Linked DNA regions of Oryctolagus cuniculus. The protein of the gene in region 2 interacts with the protein of the main gene of each other region in a pairwise test. Links are inferred from orthologs where the notes say so. Each region holds a gene or a part of one and is shown on either strand. Other genes may lie near its edges.

What was found.
Region 1: the proteins of KEAP1 (region 2) and ETF1 interact in binary tests that used the Homo sapiens proteins (3 or more experiments, as listed by UniProt). The two-hybrid records come from large-scale screens. The link is inferred for Oryctolagus cuniculus from reciprocal best matches to the Homo sapiens genes KEAP1 and ETF1.

The regions. Positions count from the first base shown.
Region 1 is NC_091437.1:26,283,497-26,290,917, reverse strand, and holds the end of ETF1 (eukaryotic peptide chain release factor subunit 1), read left to right. Parts: intron 1-660; coding exon 661-790; intron 791-1,327; coding exon 1,328-1,483; intron 1,484-2,108; coding exon 2,109-2,173; intron 2,174-2,938; coding exon 2,939-3,086; intron 3,087-3,319; coding exon 3,320-3,402; 3' UTR 3,403-4,264; downstream 4,265-7,421. UniProt on the Homo sapiens protein: Component of the eRF1-eRF3-GTP ternary complex, a ternary complex that mediates translation termination in response to the termination codons. The eRF1-eRF3-GTP complex binds to a stop codon in the ribosomal A-site.
Region 2 is NC_091447.1:66,948,858-66,956,938, forward strand, and holds the start of KEAP1 (kelch-like ECH-associated protein 1), read left to right. Parts: upstream 1-3,288; 5' UTR 3,289-3,529; intron 3,530-3,707; exon of another isoform or gene 3,708-3,927; intron 3,928-4,180; exon of another isoform or gene 4,181-4,706; intron 4,707-5,133; exon of another isoform or gene 5,134-5,155; 5' UTR 5,156-5,202; coding exon 5,203-5,841; intron 5,842-8,081. UniProt on the Homo sapiens protein: Substrate-specific adapter of a BCR (BTB-CUL3-RBX1) E3 ubiquitin ligase complex that regulates the response to oxidative stress by targeting NFE2L2/NRF2 for ubiquitination.

The DNA of each region.
Region 1 (7,421 bases), on a different chromosome or scaffold from region 2:
CTTTCCTGGGTCAAAAACGTAGCTTTAAGATAAATGGTGGCGGGCTTATAGGTGTTTATTAGGAAACATTACCTACTTTTCTGGATCCTTCCTCTTTTGAAGTCAGCCATTTTTGAGTTGGGGTGCTATGGCATAATTGGTTTTAAAAAAGAATTTGACTTCACAGAAACTATAAACTTCTTTACTGTCTTATTCTGATTTATTCCTAAGGTAAATAAAGCAGCAAAATGACAGAGGTATTAAGTCTAAAACATTTAATCCAGAAGGATCTTCTGGTTCAAGATACAGGCTCAGCCATAACCTGTTCCCAAGGAGTTCTTATGGGAGAGGTAGCAATATAGTAGACAGTGTCACCAAAGATACCATCTTGTATTCTTAAGTGGCAGGAGCCAGTAGCTCCCCCTTTTGTTCCTAAGATACTTACTTTTGTGTACATTGAATGACTTATCCTACCGTAGGTTTAACATAATATGTCATATGAATGGCTATAAGTTTGCTCTGGCAACATTGCTCACTTTTGAGTTAGCCCTTGAATAAATAGGAATCCTCCATATTTAGACATTAGTGATTACAGTGTTAATCTTTGTATGTCATTAAGAGGTAAAGGAGTCTTGGTAAAGATGTTTTAAAGTAATAATGATTTTTTTTTAATTGTGTCAGAGGTTGCAATCAAAAGTTTTAAAATTAGTTGATATATCCTATGGCGGTGAAAATGGATTCAACCAAGCTATTGAGTTATCTACTGAGGTCCTCTCCAACGTGAAATTCATTCAAGAGAAGAAATTAATAGGTATCAATGAAATGCAGCTACTTATTATGTGTTTTTGTGTATTAAATGTGTATGGATGATATGTATGAAAGAAACACTGGAAAGGTAAAAAAGAAAAAAGATGAAGTATTTTGTTAAATCTTCTGCTTCTGTGGAATCATTATTTTTAATATTCAGTCATTAGGTCTAATAAGTGTGCTTAATTATATTCATATCCACAAGGGAAAACAATATACGTTCACCTTTCAGTATCTGAGGGGGGCTGGTGCTAGACCTTCTCCTTCTCTACCCTGATAACAAAATCTACAGATGCTCAAACCTCTTCTATAAAATGGCATAGTTTTTGTATGTGGTTGTTATGCTGTATTGTTTACGGAATAATGACAGGATTAAAAATCTGTACATGTTTGTTACATATTCAGGCCCAGCTATAAAGTACTTTTCAATGACAGCTTAACTGGTTCCCCCCACACACACATCTTTTTGATCTTGGGTTGGTTGAATCTGCTGATTAGAAATCCAGTTGTATGCTTTATTGACCTGTCACTAATACCACAGGACGATACTTTGATGAAATCAGTCAAGACACGGGCAAGTACTGTTTTGGAGTTGAAGATACGCTAAAAGCTTTGGAAATGGGAGCCGTAGAAATTCTAATAGTCTATGAAAATTTGGATATAATGAGATACGTTCTTCATTGCCAAGGCACAGAAGGTATGAGAATTAGAAAATAGGTTGCTGTTTGATACTGATCTGTGCATTCAAGAAGCCTGAGGGTGGAGATTGGAAAGGATGGCTGATCTCATGAGCAGTCAGAAGTCAGATCTACTCTTCTTTCTCCACTGCTTTGCTCATAGCACATACCTGTGTAAATTTTTCAGCTTGAACTGCTTAATGCCTGATTATATTTGCTGAAGAGCAGTCTCTGTGTTTTTGTTGTTCTTACTTGCTAAAGAGAGCTCTCATCTGTTCGTTCATTCCCCAAATGCCCAAATGGGTTGGTGATGGGGACCTAAGTATTTGAGCCATCACTTGCTGTCTATCAGGATGCACATTGTCAGGAAATACAAACCCAGAGCAGAGCCAAAACTGGAACTCAAGCAACCATTGGGCCAGACCACTCACCTGAGGGTCAGTTTTAATGTCTTTGATTTTTTTTTTTTTTTTTAATGGTGGGAGCAATTTACCTGCTTGACACTCAGTGAATGCTGGTGGAAAGGAAGTTTATAGAATGAATTTAGAAGCCTTTTCCTTATCCAACTGGCCTCATTTTGTAGGACTTAACCCCATTAGTATTTGACAACCAGTTTAACACATTGTTTTCCTCTTAATACTACAGAGGAGAAAATTCTTTACCTAACTCCAGAACAAGAGAAGGATAAATCTCATTTCACAGACAAAGAGGTATGTGGTTGTTTTCTTGGTTTGGTATACACGCAAGGAAACATGATTGTGTGTTAGAGCTCGGGCAGTTACAATGTCAGCCTTGGGAAATCAAACCACATTCCGCTTGAGGAGTTCAGTGGGGATTTTTTTTCTTAAAGTAGTTAAGCACTAAGGAGAACTTTCCCCTATCCTTGAAATAATAGAGAGGAAGATTTTATTTGAGTATGCCTCTCGCGCTCTGAAACCTGTGCTGCTTTGTTTCACTTACTTTATTAGCTGCTCCACCACAACAGCATCTTTGGGCTTGGTCTAAATGTGTCATGACATTTAATTTAAAGTGTCACCTTACCACAAGATGACTTTTAAGTGGTAGCTTCCTCAAACTCTGAGTTGTTGGACTTTGTTCTTTAAGAGCCGCTCCCAACAGCAGTTCTGGCACATCTCTTCTGGTCTGCTGAATGGCTGCCACAGAGACGCTGCAGCAGCCTGACTTCCAGAGTCAGCAGGAGTCATAAAAGTCAAAACCACTCAGTGTCTGTTGACATCTCATGACTGAGGCTTGAGCCCAAGGAGAAGGAGTATTTAAAATAATCCCACAGTTTCTCTGCAGTCTGCATTATGTTATTAGAAACCAGAATTCACTTTGTTTTATAGGAGTGCACGTGCGCACACACATGATAATGAGTGACAGCACCGAATGATGGTAGGCAAGAGAAGTGAGGGGGTGAGGCCTGCTATGTCCTAACCACTTGGTTTTTGCTGTCTTCTGGTGAATCCCTGTAGACAGGACAGGAACATGAGCTGATTGAGAGCATGCCCCTGTTGGAATGGTTTGCTAACAACTATAAAAAATTTGGAGCTACATTGGAAATTGTCACAGATAAGTCACAAGAAGGATCCCAGTTTGTGAAAGGATTTGGTGGAATTGGAGGTGAGTAGCGTATCAACAAAGTGAACTTAAAAACAGGGTCTCAGGCCAAGGCCTATGCTGACTAGCCTAAAATAAATTACTTCAGATTAGCTGTGCTCATTGGCTACTGAGGCAGGTGGTTGGGACAGCAGATGGTTACACAATCTTTGATTTGGACCAGTTTTTATCATCTCTTTGCTTTTCTATAATTGTGTAAGAGAACTGGACTTTATATTTGTGGTTTCTTTCTCCAGGTATCTTGCGGTACCGAGTAGATTTCCAGGGAATGGAATATCAAGGAGGAGACGATGAATTTTTTGACCTTGATGACTACTAGGTAGTCGACATGGGTCCGGCAAAACGTGCCTCGCCCTCCAGCATCCAACCCAAGGAGCATACCCGTGGTGGAATCCAAACAGATCCCTGCCTTACAATTGGAACATTTCCAGAACTTAATCCATGAGCATTGGATATTGAAAAGAAAACCGAAACAAAACCAGGCCCAACCCTACACTTTGGTTTGTCATGGTGTCAGCGCAGCAGCCTACAACTAAGTTCCTAAATGCCACTTTGGACTAATTTAAAAAAGAATCCCAATTTTTACTTTTACTCGATGGTGAAATTGGTTGCTCTTGTATTTTATGAAAAAATGATTTTTTTAACCTTCATACATAGAAGCAAAAATACTTTAACTGCTGTAAACCTTCAAAAGTTAATAGAAGTGAGATCATACTGGTTTGTTTCTTATTTTGATTGGAGAAAAATTAAATTGCTGCATTTCGCAGTGACCCATTTACATGGCATTCTCAGCTTAGACTGCATAAGAAGAAATATATGTGGTGAAATGTTGGAACCATTTCTCTCTTGGTCTCTGTTTAATGTTGAAAGGGTGAGCTAATAGGAGGCAATGTCATCTTCACTCCCTCACACTCTCCCTTCCCCTACAGACTGTCAATTTCAAGGATGCAAACTGCATTGCAAGGTCAAACTGACTCAAGAAGCATCTGGGCCAGTGCACTGTTTACTTCCATGTGTTTGGCAGCCACGTTTGGGCACAGCATTTGGGAGCCCTTTGTATCAGTTGCTTTGACAAAGGTCCCCTAATCCTAGCCTATTAGAAACCAGTTGGAGATGGATATGATGGGGCTTCTGTGCTGTTGCTGGGATTGGGAGAAATAAAACATGCAATTTCAGTGGAAGCAAAGAAATTTAAAGTTTATTTGCTTGGGTCTATCCTTGGTAAAAGGGAGGTGGTTGTGTTTTCCTTATGTTGGATGGCATGAGATTATGTGAATGTTTTGATTTTTTTTAAATGAACTGCAAGATTTTTCACAGGAACGACAGACAAAACATGTTTGACTGTGCATGTAATTATAAGCCCCTGACCTCCTGGTGGGGTTGGAGCATCTGTTTCAAATGTGGGACTTTACAAGCACCTCTCACAGGAGAAATTATGGGAGTGGGGCGGGTAGGGCAGGGGCGGGGAAGGGATGGGACACAGCTTCTGGCACCATGGACTTTACCATGTTGAATCCAAAAATTGACCTGAAAACCTGAAGCATGTGCTTCACAGCTGGGCCGTCCTTAGGATGTGAACCCAGCTGATAAGCAAGGTCATGGCGTGCTCGAGGTGACAGTGAACAAAATGAATAGGATGTGCCCAGTAGCAGCAATGGAAAAAAGTGTACCAAATGGGCTTTGAAGGACCAAAGGTTTTAAAAGTCAATTGGTATCACTCTCACACCTGGTTAGGGTCATGGGGTGCATTTGGTTTTTCAAATTGGGTACTTTTAACACTATAGTGCCTGACTGCTGTTCTTCACTGACTTGACTCAGTCACTTGTAGCTTTACTGGTCTGAACCAGCTCTTTGTTCCCAGGTTACAGACCTGCCTATCGTTCCAATAATCCTGTTTCACTTGAATGAAGGGAGTATGTCTTAAATGTAAAGCTTGTGGTTCTCACACTGTACTCAGAGGTCCAAATGACTGTCTGTCGATGCGTAACCTGTTGTCTCAACCCCCAGCGAGAAGAGTCAACTCTTTGCTGTTCACCAGCGTGGGAGGCTTCACCGGCTTTTGCTTTGGGCTCTGCTGTTTGTTTGCAGAATACCCAAGAGCAAGCAAACATGCTCTCTTCACAGCAGTACCTTAGGGTTTTGCCATTGTAAATGGGTCTAATGTGATATGACAAGACCAGAGAAATTGGATGTAAATTTACATTTTTAAATATGCTTGTTGTTTCACATGATACATTTAGGGTATGCAGCTCCTTTTGTAGTTTTTATTTTTACTATTTAAGTTTGGAAATGATGCCAAATTTTGTATTTCTTTAATCAATGTGTTCTCTTCAGTGATATATATTGCATTATATATTGATGTGTGTATCAATATATACTGATATGTATTACACTTACACTTACAAACACAGAAATAAGAGGGGGTGAAAACCGTAGCCTTTGCATTCTCTATAGCCTCTGCAGAGAGATCCTAAGCAGCAAAATCTTGGTGTTGTGATGTACAGAAATGGAGAAGAGTATTAAACCATATTTAAGAATACACTTTGTGTGCTTGAGATTTTTTAGGACTGTTCCTAGAAAAGGTCTGAGGTTCCTAGAAAAGTATGAGTTCTCCGAGGCATTTGTCAGATCAGTGGTGGCTAGTAACTTCCCAGCCTTAGATCTGAGTTTTCCATACACTGCCCATGGAAGGGCATATGCAAATGACATCTGAGGTCATGATCTCAAGATTACCCTAGAGAAGGGAGCTTCAACTTGATTGTATCCCACTTCCCTCCTTTCCATTTGTCAAAGGGGAACTATTTCCCCCACTTTCAAGTATGTTGTCTCATAACTAAACATCCCCTGCAGGGAGGTGTTATGCCCCATTCTATAGATCAACTAAAAGAGCTTTAAGTCACAGCCTGCCAGTGGTGATACCAAAATTTCACCCCAGGCTTAACTGCAAAATTGATGCTCTTTCTGCATCTGTTTGTCTTTGCGCCCTATAATAGAGTGGTCCAGATGGAAGAGCCGAGAAACTAGGCTAGGCCCTTTCCCTCCCACTCTGCCTCAGCACTGCATACCTCATATTGGGTAGCAGAGTAATCTGAGAGCAAGTCGGGTTGGCCCGAGGAGTGGGGGCCCTTGGTTCAGGTTAGGAGCAGAAGAGGGATTGCTGTGTTAATTTTCCCGAAGTGTGAGGTGTGCTAGACCTTATTTGGTAGTTTCTGAAGCCTTCACTAAAGAGCCAAGGTGGTATGTGGCTTGTGCTCTCCAGACCAGAGGAAGAGGTTTCCATTAAAGGCCCCCTGCTAGCAGTTTCTCTGTGACTTCGTGCTCTCAGCACACGTTCACTGCTTTCTCACCTGATCTAGATGATGGCCCTGCTGAAATCCAGTTGTCCTTTGCAAAGGGCAAGCATGCCTGGTCAGGCGGAGCTGGCGTTTTTCTTCATCATGCATCCCTAGGTGCTATTCTTGAAGTTGGGATTTCTGGAAGGAAGCACAGTGGTGCCGGGTGTGGGTTACGGTGCTTGCCTGTTTGGGCCTGCTGCACTTGCCATCTTTTGTTCTCTGGCTCTGGTTCCCATGCTGTGGCGCTCCCAGACAGGCACAGTGGATTCAGGGCTAAGTGCCAAGGCAGAATTTGAGCCTCATGCCAGCTTCTCCCTTGTTGCCAATTTGAGTGTGTGCCAGCTGGGACTCCCCCTGCCAAGTCCCACCCTGATGGGACTGCACTTTAGGGGACAGGAACTGACAAGGCAGAGGGTGTGGGAGCATCGCAGTAACACCAGAGAGAAGGGGCATGGTTGCTCATTTTGTAGCAGTTTGGGTGGGTGCCACAAATTGCTAACAACAGAGCAACTAGAGATAACATGCACAAACAAGTCACTTCCTCCAGGATTTTCTAAATCAAGTCTCAGTCCTGTCTCAGTGAACTCTGCTTCAGGTAGACACCTCTAGGAATATCCCTACAAGGCATGGTGTGCTCACCTAAGAGCCCAGGACAAGGGGTCTTATCAAGAGATCTGGTTCTTTGTTCTGTCTCTACTATTAGCTAGGCTGTGACATCAGGTAAGTCCTTTCCTGACTCTTGATTTCCCTGTCAGTGTAAGGCATGTCTTGAATCTAAAGGGCTTTTCTATCAGGATATCCAAGTCAGGAGCAGGAGCTGTGAAGTAGGCCTGGGGTGGAAAATCTTGGCTTTCTCTTGGACACTGGTTGATTACCCCATGTCTCTGTGCAGCAGTTTTCCTCCCTGTAACAATGCCTGCTTCGTGAATATTGGGGTAACAAGGTTTTAATGGAGTAAGAGAAATGAACGACGTAGTATATAGTGCCTGGCACTTACCTACCA
Region 2 (8,081 bases):
GCACTGACCTGATTTCCGGAACACCCACGCTGTCAGCCTGGGACCGCGATCCCAGGTCGCTCTCAGGACTGGCCCACATCCCCTCCTTTGCCTGGCACTCCTGCCCGCATCAAGGGTTCTCAAATCTTCCCGGGAGACCCCCGAGGCCACCCCAGTCAGTGGTGTGGTTATTTGGTGGTGGGAGATGTTTAGATTTTTTTTTTCATGAAAAACAAAAAGCGCACAGAGGGGCGGGTGTTAAGACAACACGTGGGACCCCCGCGTGACATAGCTGCCCACGGCCTGGGTTTGAATACTGTGCTGCCTCTGATGGCAGCTTCCCGGGAACCCACACCCTGGGGGGCAGCAGGTGAGGGCCCCGATACTTGGGTCCCTGCCAGCCACCCATGTGGGAGCCTTGGATGGAGCCCCTGGTTCCTGGCTTCCGCCTGGCCCAGCTCTGGCTGTTGCAGCCATCCGGGGAGTGAACCAGTGGATGGAAGACCTCTCTCTCTCCACTCCAGAGCCTGCAAAGCCAGCATCTCCTATCAGAGCGCTGGCTCAAGTCCTGGTTGTTCCAGCCCCCTGCTAATGTGCCTGGGGAAGCAGCAGAGGACGGCCCAAGTGCTTGGCCACCTGCCACTCATGTGGGAGACCCGGATGGAGTTCCAGGCTCCTCGTTTTGGCCTGGCCCAGTCACGGCTGTTGTGGGCACTGGGAGAATGAACCAACAGGTGGAAGATCTCTCTTTCTCTCTGTCTCTCCATCTGTCACTCTGCCTTTCCAATAAATAAAAATAAATCTAAACATACAATTAAAAAGCACCCAGTTCCCCTTTTGAATGGACATCAGTGTTGGGGTTCCCAGAGAAACTTCCAGAACTGTTCTGTGGCTGAATCTGCCGAGATGTAAATGCACCTGCTGTCTTCTTCACCCGCGCCCTCCGCTTTGCTCACTCCTCTTCAGCGTCTCTCGGGGGACTGTCCCCCAGCCACACGTCTGCACTGTGTTCCCGCCCTGGTCGGCTTGGTTTGCCAAGACAGATGTCATACCTGGGTGGCTTGACCACAGAGATGTATTCCTCTCGGATCTGGGAGCCGGATGGGCCCGGATCAGGGTGCCGGCATGGCTGTGTTCCGGTCAGGGCCCTCTGCTTGGCTGGCTGGCGTCTGCCTTCCTACTGCGCCCTCACGAGGCGGAGCGAGCTCTCTGGTGTCTGTCGCGATGCCACTTTGTGTATTTTAAAATGTTTATCTGTTTGTTTGAGAGGCAGAGAGAGGATGGGAGAGAGAGAGGATGGGAGAGAGAGGGAGAGAGAGAGAGAGGGAGAGAGAGGGAGAGAGACCGTCCATGCTCTGGTTCACTCCCCAAGTGCCCACAACGGCTGGGACCCGGCCATGCCGAAGCTGGAAGCCGGGAGGAACTCAGTTCCTGTCTCCCAAGGTCCACACTGGCAGGAAGCTGGGGTCAAAGATGGAGCCACGGGGCCGGCGTTGTGGGGTAGGGGGCAGAGCCAACGCTGGCATCCCCTGTGGCACCGGTTCAAGTCCCAGCTGCTCCACTTCCACTCCAGCTCCCTGCTGATGGCCTGGGAGGCAGCAGATGACAGCCCAGGTACTTGGGCCCCTGCCACCCACATGGGAGACCTGGATGAAGCTCCTGGCTTTGACCTGGCTCGACCCTGGCCGTTGGCGCCATCTGGGGAATGAACCAGCAGATGAAAGATCTCTACTTCTGTCTCTCTGTTACTCTGGCTTTCAAATAAATAAATCAATCTTTTCAATCTTTTTTTTTTTTTTTTTTTTTTTGACAGGCAGAGTGGACAGTGAGAGAGAGAGAGAGAGACAGAGAGAAAGGTCTTCCTTTGCCGTTGGTTCACCCTCCAATGGCTGCTGCGGCCGGCGCTGTGCTGATCTGAAGCCAGGAGCCAGGTGCTTCTCCTGGTCTCCCATGGGGTACAGGGCCCAAGCACTTGGGCCATCCTCCACTGCACTCCCGGGCCACAGCAGAGAGCTGGCCTGGAAGAGGAGCAACCGGGACAGAATCCGGCGCCCCGACCGGGACTAGAACCCCGTGTGCCGGCGCCGCAAGGCGGAGGATTAGCCTAGTGAGCCGCGGCACCAGCCGTCAAATAAATAAATAAATCTTAAGAAGAAGAGGAGGAGGACGAGGAAGAGGAGGGGGAGCCACGTGCAGCAGTGTGGACACGGGCATCTTAATGTGGGTCACTCTCCAGACGCAACATCCACGCTGGGCCAGGCTGAAGCCAGGAGTCAGGAACTCCATCCTTGTCTCTCCCGTGGGTGGCAGGGGCTCCAGTCCTTGGGCCACGCCTGCAGCCTTCCCACACTGGTCGCAGGAAGGTGGGTTGGAAGCGCAGGCACTCTGATATGGGTTGCCGATGTGCCAGATGGCGCTTACTTCCACGTGCCCCAACACCAGCCCCTGCCACTTCGTACCAAGCCCACGGAGCATCACGCAGGTTGCTACAATTCTTTGCCACAACAGACCTCATATTGCAGTAAGACTGTGCACATAACACTTTTTTGCACGCTTGTGAATGTCTCTTGGGTACATCTCTACAGGCAGCACGGCTGGCCCACGGGGCCTGCAGGTTTGGTTTGGAGAGATGTCAGAGGCTGTGGGTTACAGTCACGGCTGGAGCGCCCCCCTCGGGAGCTTCCCGGAACTGCAGCTTCACACAGCCCAGTGTGGGGAGCGCTCCACCCCAGCCCGGTTCAACCCCAGACCCAGAGCCCGAACATCAAAAGCCCCCAGATTTCACGTCGGAGACTCCAGCAACCCTGTTCTTAGACAAACATCTCCTCGGCCTGTCCACTTTTCAAACTTGAAATGCGTCTGTTGAAAAGTTAACTTCATGTCATCAAGAGCAACCGTGCCGAGAAAAATTAGCAATAGCGCTTTTGTCCTCGCCATCACGGAACGTGGAAGAAACTAAGGTTCTGTGGGCGCAGAGTTAGCAGCAGGCGGGTCGGGGGTTCGAATCCCCGCAGGTGGGTTCCATGCATAACTGAAAAATAAAGACAACAGGAACCCAGCTAGGCAGGTGGCTCCAGCGGGCATGCACTGTGTGGATAAGAAGAACAGGTGTCGCGCACAGCAGCCCCAGGGACGAAACCTGCCCAGATGGAAGGGACGGTGCGAGAGGGGTGCGAGACCTGCCCGCCCCGCCGGCCTTGCACCCTTGCGGGACGCCGGGTCCCTCGCGAAGGCACCTGCGGGGAAAGAGGCGGGGAATCGCAGCTCCTTCCCCGCCGCGCCCTCCGCGCCTTCTCCCCGCCTCCTTCCCGGGAGTCCGGAGGCCACCCCCCACCCGACGTCTGCGACCCCGCTGGCCACGCCGCCCCGGAGCCGAGGCCCCCCCATAGGCGGCGGGGGCGCCCTCGGGTCCCCAGTAGCAAAGTTAGGGCCGAAGCCACCCCGCGCAGAGCCGCGGCTCCCCACCCACCACCCCGCCTCGGGCTTCCCGGAAGCGTGGCGCGCGGGTGGCACCATCGTGCCCCGTGCCTCCCCACCCCGTGGGACGGAGGTGAGTGAACCCCGGCAGGGGTGGCGGCGAATCCCGGGGCGCGGAACGGGGCCTCGAACTCGGGGCTCCGACGCCCCACGCGGCCGAACGGAGCCGCGATCCCCCGCCCCGCCGTGGCTGGCGCTGTGGTCGCTGCTGCGCCGGGGCTGCGCAACCCGGCGACCGCGGGCGGGGGTTGGGGGCGCGGCCTGGGGCCTGTCCACGCCGCCCGGGGCCAGGAGCCGCGGCGCACCGAGCGTGGGGTGGGGGGGTGGCGGACTTTTATTCTGACATGGCCGGCGCCGCGCTCTGCTTAGTCATGGTGACCTACGCGCGCTCCGCGCCTCCCCCCGGCGCGCAGCGATGGAGGCGCCCGGGCTCCGGCGGCGGAGGCGGAGCCGCAGCGCGACCATGGCGGGGTGAGTGAGGCGGCCTGTGCCCAGGCTGCGGGCGCCGCGGGCCTCGGGCGCCCCGGCGACCATGGCCGGGGGCCGCGGGAATGGGAGCGCGGGGCCCTGGGGCCGCCTCCGAGTTCCCGGAGGCCCCGGGAGGGCGCGGCCGGGGTCCGATCGTTTTGTTGGACGGCGCCACTGCCGGGGCGGCCGGAGAGGCACGGAAGCCGGGAGTGAGACGCAGGGGGGGAGCGCACGCAGACGAAAGCCCGGGGATCCCGGGGCGTTGGCGACGGCTGGGTGCGCGCTGCGGCCTTGGCTGCCAAGAGGCCGCGGCGGGGTCACTTCCTCGCTTCTCCAAGGCCTTGGTGGCGGCTCAGGCGGGGCATGCGCAGTCCCCCACTTGTCGCTTCGCGGCGGGGGGGAAGTGCTTGGTGCCCAGGGGCACCGTTGACCGATTGGCCAAAGATCCAGAGGCCAGCCCGGGGCCTCGCATGGGGAGAGGGGGCCGAGCGGCGCGCCGGGCAGGGTGGAGGAGGGCGGCTCTGGCAGGCACCGTGGCGTGGGCAGCCGGCCAGCCACTGGCTCCTGCGCAGTGCCAGGCCGCGGGCGGGACGCGGGGACACACAGGAGAGGGTGGCCCCAGCGCTGGCCTGCAGGGGGCTCCCTGCCCCCTTGAAGCTCCGCGGTGGAGTTTGGGGGGGGGGCGAGAACGAGGCGACGTTGGGCTGAGCCCCAGAGCTTGGGAGCGCCTTGCAGGTGCCGCGGATTTCAAAACGTGACTCAAGCCCTGGCCCTCAGCCTCTGTGAGTCTCTCAGCTCCTGACCGGACCTTGCTGCTCCCTGCGCCCCAGCGCCAACCTCACCTTCCCAGAGGGGTGTGGGCCAGGACACCACAGTGCCTGGGACACAGCAGGCGCTCAATAGATGTTGCAGGGCTGAGCGAAAGAATGAACTTGACATGACTGGGGAAGGGAGGAGGTAGCTGGATGGCTGGATGGAGTGAGCTGGAGAGAAGTGGGTGGACAAGAGCTGACTATCCTGCCAGCTGTTGAGGGGTCCTGTGTGGTTTTGGGGGTGGGGGCAGGATCTGGGTGGACCCCTGGGTGGGCACGGCCAGGAGAAGGTGGGGAGCTCCACCGGACCCCACCTCACCAGGTTTGCTTTGGGAATGGCTCTGTCTTACGAAAGAGGGCCTGGCAGGTGCTGGCCTGACCCCTGCCCTGCCCCCAGCCCTGTGCTCTCCCTCCTCCAGGCCCCTGAGTGTCCGTGGCGGCGTGATCCCTTGTCACTTGGAACCTCATGCAGCCGGAAGCCGAGCCTAGCGGGGCGGAGGCCTGCAGCCGATTCCTGCCCCAGCAGTCACAGCGCCCCGAGGGGGCGGGGGACGCCATGATGTTCGCCTCCACCGAGTGCAAGGCCGAGGTGACGCCCTCCCAGCATGGCAACCGCACCTTCAGCTACACGCTGGAGGACCACACCAAGCAGGCCTTCGGGATCATGAATGAGCTGCGGCTCAGCCAGCAGCTGTGTGACGTCACGCTGCAGGTCAAGTACGAGGACACGCCGGCCGCCCAGTTCATGGCCCACAAGGTGGTGCTGGCCTCGTCCAGCCCGGTCTTCAAGGCCATGTTCACCAACGGGCTGCGGGAGCAGGGCATGGAGGTGGTGTCCATCGAGGGCATCCACCCCCAGGTCATGGAGCGGCTCATTGAGTTCGCCTACACGGCGTCCATCTCCATGGGCGAGAAGTGCGTGCTGCACGTCATGAACGGTGCCGTCATGTACCAGATCGACAGCGTCGTCCGCGCCTGCAGCGACTTCCTGGTGCAGCAGCTGGACCCCAGCAACGCCATCGGCATCGCCAACTTCGCCGAGCAGATCGGCTGCGCCGAGCTGCACCAGCGCGCCCGCGAGTACATCTACATGCACTTCGGGGAGGTGAGCCGGGAGGCGGGAGGGCTTGGCACGGAGGGGCGCGCCCCAGGGCGTGATCCCCGTGAGACGCCAAGGGGGAGCCGGGGAGGATCGAGGGCCCTGGCCACACATCTGACCACCAGGACAGTGACCCTGGTTTCCCTGGGGTCAAAGGTAGGGGCAGAAGGCAGTGACCGTGACCACGGCCAAGCGCTGGTCAGCAGTTCCTTCCAGGACAGCGAAGACAGGCTGCTGGCTGCCCTGACCCTGGTCCTTGTTCTCTTTAGTGCCCACAACCTTGTTATCGTGCAGGGTTTGGTTTCGTTTTTGTTTCTCCGTGGAGGAAGTTGTCAAAGAGAAAATAACTCAAGGGTTTTGTTATTATTATTTTTTTTTCCAAAAGGCACTGTCCTAAGCCCTAGTTCTGAGGTTGCATCTCTTGGATGCCAGGCGCAGCCGGAATGTCCATGATCTGACTTTCCAGATTCAAAACACTCCAGAATCCGAAACTTTTCCGAGCAGTGACGCGATGCCACCAGTGGGAAGTTCCGCTAAAAACCATGCATGAAGTCACCTTCAGGGCCTGTGTGTACCCAGGAGTCTCCCAGAACGTCACAGGGATACGTGTTAGGGAAAAACCGGGCATGGATTTCAAAATATTTTTTTTTTATTTGACAGGTAGAGTTAGTGAGAGAGAGAGACAGAGAGAAAGGTCTTCCTTCCGTTGGTTCACCCCCAAATGGTCACTATGCGCCAGGAGCGCTGCGCCGATCCGAAGCCAGGAGCCAAGTGCAGGGCCCAAGCACTTGGGCCATCCTCCATTGCCCTCCCAGGCCACAGCAGAGAGCTGGACTGGAAGAGGGGCAACCAGGACTACAACCCGGCACCCATATGGGATGCTGGCGCCGCAGGCAGAGGATTAACCAAGTGAGCCACGGCACCGGCCCCGATTTCAAAATATTTTTGCACCAAAATAAGCTTATCTTTTAAACCCAGCCCCCCCCCCAAACTTTTGGAAGAACACCTGTATAAGCGAATTTGGTGTTCACACGCGGGTCCCATCCCTAAGTTTCCTTGCTGTGTACACGCAGATATCCCAAAACCCACAAAAGAATCCAAATCTCAAACACTTAAAAATTTTACATTATTTACTTGAAATGGAGAGTTACAGAGAGAAGAGAGAGAGAGAGAGGAGAGTGATCTTTTGTCCACTGCTTCACTCCCCAAATGGCCCCAACGGCCAGGGCTGGACCAGGCCAAAGCCAGGAACCAGGAGCTCCATCCGGGTCTCCCACGTGGGTACAGGGGCCCAACACTTGGCCCATCCCCTGCTGCTTTCCCAGGCGCATTTGCAGGGAGCCAGATGGGACCTGCTTGTCTGGGACGCCTGCGTTAACCTGCTGGGTCCCAGTGCTGTGCCCTCCCGGCCAGCACTTCTCTTCCTAAGCACTTGGGGTGAGGTGCTCAGCGCATGGTCTGCGTGACTGCCCCGCTGTGGCTCACTGACTCAGCCCAGCCGTCCTGGGAGGAAGTGTGGCGCGTGGCTGCGCAAGCAGGGCTGTGTCCCTGGCCCCAGGTCTGAGGGAGTCCCCGGCCTTGGAGAATGCATCCCAGACATTCTCTACGTCTTCTTCTGGCGCCTGGGACTGGTTGGGGGGCCTCTACCCTGGTCTTGTTTTCTCTCCTGCACTCCGTTACACGCGGGGTTGGCCAGATAACCCCAAGGAGAATTAGCTCTGGGGTTCTTGGCGTCCACAGGGTGGGCCAGTAAGCAGGTGCCTCCCATTCAACTGTACTGTGTTTCTTCCTTGGGACTGCGTGAGCCTGGGTTACCAGAAACAAAAGTGTTCATAAAAACAGGTGCCCTGATTTGTCTGGGCCCTGACTTGGCTACTCATGCAATCCCCATTTCACAGAGGAGAACAAATAAGGCCTGAGGGCGTTTCAGAAGTTTTCCCAAGGTCACCGCTAAAAAGTCATGGGACCAGGCTGGCGCCGCTGCTCACTAGGCTAATCCTCCACCTTGTGGCGCTGGCACACCGGGTTCTAGTCCCGGTCGAGGTGCCGGATTCTGTCCCGGTTGCCCCTCTTCCAGGCCAGCTCTCTGCTGTGTCCAGGGAGTGCAGTGGAGGATGGCCCAGGTGCTTGGGCCCTGCACTCCATGGGAGACCAGGAGAAGCACCTGGCTCCTGGCTTTGGATCGGTGCAGTGCACTGGCTGTAGTGGCCATTTGGGGGGTGAGCCAATGGAAGGAAGACCTTTCT